Schizosaccharomyces pombe: one gene and its partner. Each later gene encodes a partner of the first gene's protein in a complex. Each region holds a gene or a part of one and is shown on either strand. Other genes may lie near its edges. The genes, in order: phf1 and lsd2.

Region 1 (4,520 bases):
GGTAAAGCCTTGAAAAGCAGAGGAATGGCTACCAATTGTTAAATTCCCAAATTCTTCATGAAGAATGGGTGTTGTAGAAAGAGGCAATTTGGTAAACTCGACTGAAAAATTCTCCGCAGCCTCAGGATTGGTGATGCAAGGAACAATTGGGGGAGGCAGCATGCGCTTCTCTAACTTATTCCAATCAATTCGGCGATAAATTCTGTGCTTTTTTATTGCATCGTAACCTTTCTCGGGACCATCTGCGCCGAGGCGTTGCTTTGGATTTTTCTTGAGAAATTTGTTGATAATGTCTCTAGCATCAGAAGTCACATAAAAAGGTATGTTAGGCTTTGCACGAGTGATTTTTTCCATAATTCTCTTATGATTGTTGGCGGTGAAGGGGGGAGATCCTGTAAGAAGATCGAATATGAGGATACCCATAGACCACCAATCGACGGCATGATCATATGGCTGCTCCAACAAAATTTCTGGAGCACAATATTCCTCAGTGCCTACAAAAGAACGACAATCAGCTCCATTTTCAGCCACCTTTGACAATCCAAAGTCTGTAAGAAGGATATGGCCTTCAGCATCCAAAAGACAATTCTCTGGCTTTAAGTCCCGATACACAATACCAAGTTTATGTAAATGTATCAATGCTAGAGTCAATTCAGCAGTATAAAAAGCAACCACATCCTCAGGAAGCATCCTTTGCTCGGCCAAATGAGAAAATAACTCTCCTCCAGGTGCATATTGCAATATCAGATAAAGACGATCGTGGTCTTGAAAAGCATAATAAAGGCGACAAATGAACGGATGTCGAACCTCTTCTAATATCTGTCGCTCATTTTTGGTTTGTTCGAGGCCCTTGGCACGAAGAACAATGCTAGCTTTCTTTAGCTGTTTCTGAGCAAACAGTCGTCCAGTATTTTTTTGCTTCACTAGGAGCACCTTTCCGTAAGAGCCACGACCCAATACCGTTAAGGGTTGAAAGTCTGCTGGACGCATCTTTCCGCTTGGTACATAGTTGTCACCCTTGGAAGAAATAAAATCACCATGGGCAGCAACCTTAAACTCTACCGTCCCCTTTTCATCTTTGGCATTCTTTCCATCCTTCAAATCACTTGACGAAGTGATTGTCGACGCAGATGCCTCCAATTCTTCAAAATCATATCCCTCCTCTGCAATCTCATCGTCACTAGACAAATGGGAATTGTAATTCTCATTCAAATTGTCGTGCTCATCAAACATAAAGACAGGCATCTTTGAGCAATTTGTACTGTGAAGGATCACAAGTTTGGCATATGTATGCCCAAAATGCCTTTTCCTTGTTGTTTGGTAGACGAACAAAAGACTGCCGGGATGTAGAGCAAGAAATTCTCTTTGTCATACCTCATTTTGTTGATTCAAAACGCATTGCTGATTGGCCAATTTAGTAAAGTTTAGATATATATAAAGCTTTTGATTCGCCCTCTTTACTAATTAAAGTTATCAACTTACTACTTATTGGACCGCTTACATAGGCTATTGTGCGTTTTACTTTAAAATTTTTTTATGCCGAGAAGCTAGATTAGTGATGATTAACGTGTCTTATACGATGTGCTTTGTGCATTTTAACGAATGAAAATGTCTTGTTGCTTATGTTGTTACCGTAATGTAAGGCTGGCTCTGTAAAACGATGCCAGTTTTATATGGCCTATGCATACCTTCTTCTTGAGACGCGCGTGTTAAACTCATCTTTCGTTGAATGGCGAATTTACATCAATGAATTGAGATTTAGGAAGATTTACTTTTTACATAAAGTTATTCTATGGTCTCAGATATTTTGAATTAACATTCACTGCGTGACAATTGCGTGTATCATCATTTTAATTTGCGTTTCATGTTTGCTAGTTTCATCTAATTGTGCATTTCGTTTTAAATCAAAATTTTCCAAATTACTCATATTTATTAGTCCTCGTTTTTTACAATGTCTCAAAAGAATTTTTTCGACGAAGGAAAGAGCTATGGTGTAAATGACTATGCCGGTTTCCATTTTGAAAATGGTGCTGATTCATCCCTTCCTCAGGTATCGGCTCAAGGTGTAGTTAGAGAAACGGACAGCTCGAATTTTGATGCTTCCCCTGTCGCATCGGGTTCTGGAATTTCCGATGTTGGACCATTTGGCGCTGATTTCCATCAACTGCAGCAGCATGTACAGACACCGTATGGCGGTATGACTATGCCTGCATCTTCCTCTTCAGGCGCTACTTCAGTACCACCGGAGCAAGATCCTTCTTTGTCTGTATCATTCAATCGCTTGCCCAAGTCTGCATCAACCAAGACTAAGAATGGACGCATTCGATCGTCTCGTCGGGAAGACGATAATCGTATACCATTTTACGATCTCGATGTTGCAGAAGGTGCCGAGGATGATTTACAGGAAGACTTTCACGTGGAAGGAATGAAAACAAAATCGGGTAGAAAGATTCAGCGGCCAGTCGCATACAATCCTAATGCCACCGCATTGAAACGGAAAAGTCGCAAGGTCGATATGGTCACCTTGTGTAGCGTCTGTCAACGAGGACATTCTCCTTTATCTAATCGAATCGTATTTTGTGATGGATGCAATTCTCCATATCATCAGCTTTGCCATCACCCTCCGATTGACGATGCAACCGTTCAGGATGTGGATGCTGAATGGTTTTGTATGAAATGCCAGTACAGGCGTGCCAAGCAACCTTTAGAAACGGGAATGACGGCACAAGATCTTGGGTTAAGTGAATCAGACAAAAAAATGTATCTATCAAGTTTACCTACTCCTCATCTCGCAGATCTTATTCTTTTTTGTGAAAAGTCTTATCCATCTCTTCCCATATACAACCCACGTACTCGGGAGTTGTTGGGTGAGATTCGGCATCAACTACTTGTTAGTTCTGAACGCCAACAAATATCTTTACAAGAGCGACTTCATGCTAAACAAGATGAAGCTCCCTCTGATGAGCCTGCACCTGTCCCCTATACCGCAAGTTATGTTGCGAATTCTGGAACCTTATACGACTATCCAACGTTAATACGGTTAGCTATTCGTAACACCCTCTCACCTTCCAAAGATGAAATATTTAACTGGCTTGCTCAAAACGTACCATTGTTACCAACTTTTCACGACAGCGCTTCCGAGGCCATTCGTTGGATGGTAAATAAAGGTCAACTGGTCCGTTCCGGTAGCATCTATCAAATAGCAACAGTCGAAGAATACCCTCACCTCCAACCCTCTTTACTTCCTACTTTTCAACGAAACCGTAAGGTACCTAAATTGGTGCCTGTCTCTTTCCCCACCGATGATCCTCAAAATTTATGTGCTACTGTTTTATGAAACTGAACAAATTTTTCTAAATGTATAGACAAAAAAAATTTCTTTACTTCCCGTTTTTAATTAAACGGTTGCGTCCCGTTAATCTCGAAATAAATTTATAAGCGGTCGAAAGCAATGTATCATTACACCATGTATTAGCTGCAAATCAAAGTACTTTAGTATTTCCTTCATGGATTCAAACTTTTCACTCGATAACAAATCTAGGGAAAATACATAAATCGCCCTACACACTTTCTGTTTACATTATAAACTTTTCGTTTGGAATGTTTCCTCGCCATGAAATCTTAAAATAAAATAAAATAAGGAAATGAACAATTTCTCAATTTAGCAATAATTAAGAAAGTCAATGAAGTATAATAAAAAATAATTATTTTTAAAGTATGACTTACAACCATTATTATCGGTCAATGTCAGGGTGTTACAGCGCACCTTCTACTTACCACCAAAGATGAGGTCCACGTTGGCTAGCGCTCAGAAAGCAGCCGTACGTATTCCAAAGGGCTTTGTATTTCCTGTTCCAAAAGTAAAAAGTGCTCCTAAGGTTTCAGACACGCACCCTTTGTGGAATTTCTTTCGGGACAAGCAAGCCCTTCCACCACCATCGGAAGAGGCTAAATTCGGTAGAGCATGGGCTGCAGAAGAGCTTCGTTGGAAGTCTTTTAATGATCTACATGGACTTTGGTACAATTGTCTCCGAGAGAAGAACCTATTGTTCACACAAAGGGCTGAAATGAAACGCTTACAGTTGACTATTCCCAAAGCCTCAAATGAGCGTGTACTTGCAGTCAATAAAACCATGGCAGCTATCAAATTTGTCCTATGGGAACGCCAAAGAGCATATACTTCTGCCAAGCAGCTCGAGAAACAAAAGGGATCTTCTTAAACCCCTTCCTTTTAGGAAAACAGAAAATCATCCAAGTATGGCTTTATTATGATCTAAAGCTTCATCATTTCACAAACTTTCTAAAAATATACCCTAATACACGAGAAACTGTTTTATAATGATGATAATGATTTTTTATTTTGTTCACCTATAATTGTTTTCTTTATTTTGTTTATACTGATCATAAAATCTCGGTTGTCCCGGCAACCATGCTAATGTCTTTACACGAAATTTAGGAAATCGCATTCTATCCACATCCATTTGTTTAGACTTTTGTTTCGTGTGACAATCGATAATTTG
Region 2 (6,621 bases), on another chromosome or scaffold:
GGATTGCTGAAGGAATTGCTTCCTTACTTAACCCCGAAGAGCCACCCTCAAATTCCGACAAGCAGCCATCAATGTCAAATGGACCGAAATCAGAAGTTTCACCTTCGCAATCTCAGCAAGCTCCTTTAATCCAATCCTCTACCTCGCCGGTTTCTTTGCAGTTTCCTCCTGAAGTTCAGGGATCAAATGTAGATAAACGCAATTATGCTTTGAATGTTCTTTCGCAATTGCGTTCTCAGCATGATTTAATGATTCAGGAGTTGCACAATTTAAATCAGCACATTCAACAAATAGATGAATGGCTGAGGTCCTCTGACAATGAAAATATGGCTTCTGAACATATTAAATCCTCAACCCCTGCTGTTGTTGCATCTGGAGCTCTTCAAACATAAACTTGATTGGCATGTTTGTCGTGCGGCATATTTATTTATGGTAAACAAATTAGATATTATCCCGTTTAGCTGTCTATTACTTACAAGCATGACATTGTATACTATGAGTTTAGGGTAAAATACTTCACATGATTCTTATTGGTCTTTTGTTTTGCGTTAGTTTTGGTATTGGCCAAGTCCGTCTGCGGTGTTATATTCGTTAAGAGCTGGAAAATAATATTCAGTCCTTAGCGATTTACCGTTAAATTTAGAGTTAACATATATGTTTTTAATGAAATCCTATGTGGAGCATTTTTTATGATATTAATACGCATCGAAAAAGCAGATATTGAGAAAAAATAATACTACCGGATTTATATGGTATGTAGATAGTTAATATATTAAATATATTTAAACTGCCCGAGTGCAAACTCATTTGGAAATTGTCAATTCATTAATATATTTTTACAATTTTTCGGGGGAAAAAACATTTGTATACAACTATTTAAAACGGAAAATGGAGTTGCTTGTAAAAAGCAGTATCCATGGTTAATTAGTTCATTCGCAAAAAGTCATTGCTTGACTTTTAAAACTATATGATTAGGCTGAAATTTTAATTGTTCATTACAGCACATATATAAAAAACTTACACTTAATTTTCAGCTCAAATAACTTCGCTATTCATTATTTAATCTATTTAAATCAATAATAATGTAATTATGATATATATCATTTAGTTTTTCTGTTAACAACCAACAGTCCCGTGTTCTAGTGGTATGATTTCTCCTTCACACGGAGAAGGTCCCGGGTTCGATCCCCGGCGGGACTAGACTTTTTGTAAAATTCAACAATAGCGAACTTGAACCATAATGAGATGTTTTAGTATAATATTGATAAACAGTTAATCTACACTACTACTCTAAACATCCTAAGCTTTTCTGAATCTTAACAGCAATGTAACATATTTTTGGATTGTTATAATAATTTACTCCATTTGTTCTATTCTCCGCTGACTATACTTTCAAGTGTATTGTAATATTGTTTTCTGCAAGTTGAAATCAACGAGTTTAGGTAGTAGTCTTTAGCATGAAAGAGCTAACACATTAATGCAATAATTTGGAAAATGAATACAAATTAATGAACTTCACATTTTTCGTTCATCATTTCCAAAGTGTTAAGCCTGTAGAAGAGAGCAAATGCGATCGTAGAATAATACTCGCAATATGAATCAGATAAATAGGCAATTGAATGCCTCTCGGGCGTTCTTCATGGTATTCAAATAATTAAAGACACATGTATTATCTAAAAGAAAAATATAAATTCTGGATAGTCTGATAGATGATTGATTGGACTTGACATAAAAATGCTTATAATATTTGTCGTTATCCCATTATGCTATAATATTTAGAACGATATTTTTTTAACGAATCGTTAAGGATATGTTGCGCAAAGTACTTTGTAAACACCAAATCGAGATTCAATGAGATTTTACCACCTCGGTTCACTTTGATTGTATCTTTTTACTCTATGAACACGAGCGAGAATGATCCAGATGGTCATTATGACTTTCCAGAAATGACAGAGCATCATTCTGACCGGGCTTCATCATATGCTAACGCCAACAACGTTAATTCAACTCAACCTCAATTGGTGAGTAGTGAACAAGCGCTTTTAGCTATTTTAGGAGGTGGATTACAGTCTATCACACCTAATTCTGTTAATCAGAACGCGTATTCAAGGTCAACTTATCGTACAGATGGCGGCTTAAATTCACAGCCAGTTAGCTCACTGAACAATCAATGGGGAAACTATAATCCAGCATTTTTACCTTCTAGATATGATTCCTCTTTTCACCCTTACACAATTTCGCAAGCGGCTAATCAACCATTTCCTCAGCATCTTTTAGGCAATTCAAATGCAGGTGTCGCTCAGCAGTCTGGAATGAGAACAATTGGATTACCTCCAACTGTAGGTTCCTCTTTTCCTCAACAAAAGTCATCCACATACGAAAACTTTTTTGATGCAAACTCTCCGTCTTCTCAGCAATTTCCATCTACATATCCTTCACGATCACAAAACCCGCTTTCTTCCAGTGGAGATGGTTCAACGGCAATTCATGCAGGCCCCATTCAACACCAAAACTCAAATGCCTTTTCCAATTATCCGTATCCATTAGACGCTTCTCATTTATCTTCTCAGCAACTTTTGTCGATGTATCGGGATCAAGTTTCTCATGGAGTTACCCCATCTACATTCCGCAATCATGAAAGTTTTATGCCTACACAGTTGGTATCAGCAACAGAATTATCTAAAAGTGTTGATAACGCAGTTTTGCCAATACCACCTACTACTGCACCGGCAGTTGTATCGCCTCCTGCTTCATCTTTCCCTTTAATGTCTTCAGCTGCTACATCTGGTAATATTAGTAGTCCTGCACTTTTTGATTCAGAGTTAGGTGCTAGGCCTGAAGGTTCTGTTGCAATTGAGCCGTCTAGAGTACTGCTACAATGGTCTAGTCAATCATCATCTCATACTATACCATCTGCAGGAGCCAGTATCCCTACATCTTCTTTAAAGTCGTTTTTTGAGCATGCCGCTGAAGCAGCTCGTAAATGCAATCTCGATCCGAGGGCCTTAGAAAGTTTTGAACAACACATGCTTTCTGATCGTTTACACGATCCCGTTGTATTATTTCATTATTTCCAAATTCGTAACAGCATTTGTTGGCTTTGGATTAAAAATCCTACGCATGCCATATCCAGAGTTGAAGCTCAGGGCGTATGTGTCGATCGATGTTTGTTCCAATTAGCCTCTTTAGCTTATGAATTCCTTGTAAGGTATGGATATATAAACTATGGATGCTTGTCCTTTGATTCATCCTTTACGAATGAAACTAATACTGGCACAACATCCAGTTCTGCATCGAAGCAGAAGACTATTGCTGTAGTAGGCGCTGGTCTTACTGGTTTGATATGTGCTAGACAACTTACTGGCTTATTTTCTCAGTATTCTTCATCTTTTTTGTCAAAGAATGAGCTTCCTCCTAAAGTTATTATACTTGAAGCTAAAGAAAGGACAGGAGGTCGTATTTACTCTCGAGCATTGCCTGTTTCTCATACTTCGGCTACCCAAATTAACCATCATACATCTAATTCGAATTCTATTTCTAGTAATTCCACTTCTTTAAACCCCAAGGATGTTACTGACCCGTCCCATATTCCTTCAGCAATTGATTTGGGATTTCAATTTTTATTTTCGCCTATGGACGATATTTTGCTTAACCTTTTAAATAAACAATTGGGTATTGAAGTTACAGAGATGACTGGCTCAGATTTAGTTTACGATGAGACCGATACTAAAGTATTAGACATGGTTGAGGTGAAAAAATTAAACATTTTATGGGAAAAACTTTTGGAATATGTTTCTGTTTGCTTTTTTATTAACGTTGAGGAATCTGTTCGTATTTCTTGGATATCCCAATTTCAGTTGTTTATAGATGAAATGTTCCCTGATCATTTGTCCAAATCACTCTCATTAAATGCGTCACATGAATTTTCCTTCAAAAAAACAATGCTAATACTAATTGATGAAGTTTCTTCTTATGCCAAACTCGGGAACAGTCAAAAGAAATTTCTGATATGGTGTTTTAAGGTCGCGGAATTGGACGATACTTTGTACCCTCTTAACACAGTTGATACAGACTTCTCCAAAGATATTTTGATTCCAAAAGTTGCTAGAAGAGGTCTATCTCAACTGCCATGGGCATTACAATCTTATCCATCTCCCTTAAATATTCATTATGAGAAGTTTGTATCTAAGGTAACTATTGAAAATGATAAATGTACCCTTGATTGTAAGGACAACTCTTCTTATGAGGTTGACCAAGTTGTAATTGCTTGCTCTCCTTCTCATTTTTCTTCAAATATAGAGTTTTCACCAGGTCTTCCTAATTTCGTGACTGAAAACATAAAAAGTATAGATTTCAAACCCGGAAAAAAGGTAGGTTTTTATTTATTTATTTTTTTTTCAATTATAAAGTTAACATTGAGCAGGTTATTCTTCGTTATGCAGCTGCTTTTTGGCGAAAGAACATTAGATCATTTGGTATTATACCAAAATCATTAAGTCAAGAAATGAACAATGATGAGAATGATGGTAAATCTTGTTTTGTTTTGAGAATATGGAATATGCTTCCTGAAACTGGTGTCCCAATATTAGTAGCGGATATCAATCCACAAATGACAAGTTCTTCTTCTAACGAGACCTCCCACTTAATTCAAGAATTACACAGTCTAATAGTAGATCATTTTCAAAATGATTCAAACAGCTCAGCTGATTTATTAGATGCTTGGGTCACAAACTGGTCGAGAAATGGTGTCTATGACGGCTTAAATTCTTATCCAAATTTTGCCAATGATAAGCAGCAATATGAAAAAAGATTTAGGCAAAGTCAGTTATCGTATAATTTGGGTCGCTTGCATATTGCTGGAGACTATATATTCAGTTGCGTAGGCTGTAGGACATTACAAAGATCCTTTTTATCTGGCCTTTCCGTATGTACAGGGATTATTGATTCATTGGCTCCAATTTCCTTAACCATACCTATCATTGGAGAAACCTCTCGCAAAGAATTGGATCAGTTTTTGCGAAACTCTAAAGTTAATAATTTTGATCCCAATGCTGAAGCACAGCGTCACCTTTCTTATCAGGCAAGATATAGGTTGAAAAAGCAGGAAAGACTTGACGAGCATAAGGAAGAACAGGAACAGCTTGTAACTGAACTTCTTGGTTATTTACCTGAACCTCCTTCCAAGCCGAATGCAAATCCCTTTTTACTTTACCAAAAAATGCAGTGGCATGTATGCCGTGCACTTGCTGATGAAGACAAGCGAAGGTTAACAGGAGATAGTACAGCGAAGGCTACTATTAATGAAACACGTGCCAAACTAGGGAAAACTTGGCGCCAGCTTGATGATTTAGGTAAAAAACCTTGGATTGATGAAATTGCAGCACAAAGAGAAGCTTATGCTGGAAAAATTCTTCGTTATCAGCGCCTAACTAAAGAATATGAAATGAGAGCCGAGCAAATACGAAATGATTATGCGGCCAAATGCCAAGATGAACCTATTCCCGATGATGAAGCAAGATTGTTTATGCAAGCTCAACGAGAAGAAGAGCAAAGAAAACAAACTCAGGATGACAACATTTCCAAAAGTCGAGAGGCTAGCGACGAAGAGTATCATGACGATGGATCTTCTGATTCGGGTTATAATGGAACACGATATTAAAAGAAAAAAAATCAAATCACATATTGTTTTTTAAAAGTTTAGTTACTTCGCATCATTACAAATACCCTTAAAATTTTATGTACATATATATTCTCGTCATGCCCTAAATGAAGCATTTTATCAAATTGCTAATTTCAGCAAATTGTTTAAGGAAAATCTAAAATACATGTACACTTCTCGTTAGCCAGTAGCCAACCTGATTTAATGCCGAAGATGTAAGAGATAAAAGATGATATCGTAAACACAGCTACTACTCTCACTCTTTAGGATGTAATGCATGTTACCATTTTGCCATTAACATAATATTCAAGCAACAAATGATATTACTAGTACGCTTGTGAAATAAATAAAAAAATAAGTTATTAGAAAAAAAGTAATTAAAATTAACTAAGAATCATTAAATTAAGCCAAAACAGATGCGGTTGTATTTGTTGCAGACACCATGGACACTATGTATCTCAAAGCAAGTACTACAACGAAATAGTTAAAAAAAAAACATAAGATGCATATGATATTAAAATAAAATAATATAAAAATGCCGAGTTATTGACTCCAGTCCATATTTGGACATGTATAATTAAAAGCATTATCCAAAAGTTAATAGGAGATGGCATCTCAATTGTCAAAAAAAAAGTGGTTGTTATAAAGACTCGTAATTCAGGAAGTCTGTTATAAATAATTAAAGAGACTGTAAGACTTCATTGATAAGAACATCGAATTCTTTAGCATACGCCATGTTCAAAGCGTGTGGATCTTGTAGCATATTGTCGTCAGGCAAAGGGGAGCTAAGACTTGAATCTGAACAGTATGATACGGAATTAGATCGTTCATAACCCATTGGCAAAGTAGCTAGATACAGAGCATTGGATGAACTTCTTCTGGAAGGCGATACGGCACAGTGATTATTATGAACTTGATCTTCAGCAGTAGGCAAGCTTTCAGAAAATGATAGATTTCTATGA

Evidence for each region.
Region 2: phf1 (region 1) and lsd2 share a complex: the UniProt entries of both Schizosaccharomyces pombe proteins name them as parts of the SWM histone demethylase complex.

The regions. Positions count from the first base shown.
Region 1 is NC_003421.2:458,166-462,685, forward strand, and holds phf1 (PHD finger domain-containing protein Phf1), read left to right. Parts: upstream 1-1,702; 5' UTR 1,703-1,951; coding exon 1,952-3,337; 3' UTR 3,338-3,749; downstream 3,750-4,520. Other genes in the region: serine/threonine protein kinase S6K family Psk1, read right to left, coding at 1-1,245; mrpl4 (mitochondrial 54S ribosomal protein uL29m), read left to right, coding at 3,786-4,220. UniProt on the Schizosaccharomyces pombe protein: Component of the SWM histone demethylase complex that specifically demethylates H3K9me2, a specific tag for epigenetic transcriptional activation, thereby acting as a corepressor.
Region 2 is NC_003424.3:444,872-451,492, forward strand, and holds lsd2 (putative histone demethylase SWIRM2), read left to right. Parts: upstream 1-1,898; coding exon 1,899-4,370; intron 4,371-4,423; coding exon 4,424-5,659; 3' UTR 5,660-5,855; downstream 5,856-6,621. Other genes in the region: Fe-sensing transcription factor Fep1, read left to right, coding at 1-392; meiosis specific arrestin family membrane adaptor Ste7, read right to left, coding at 6,339-6,621. UniProt on the Schizosaccharomyces pombe protein: Catalytic component of the SWM histone demethylase complex that specifically demethylates H3K9me2, a specific tag for epigenetic transcriptional activation, thereby acting as a corepressor.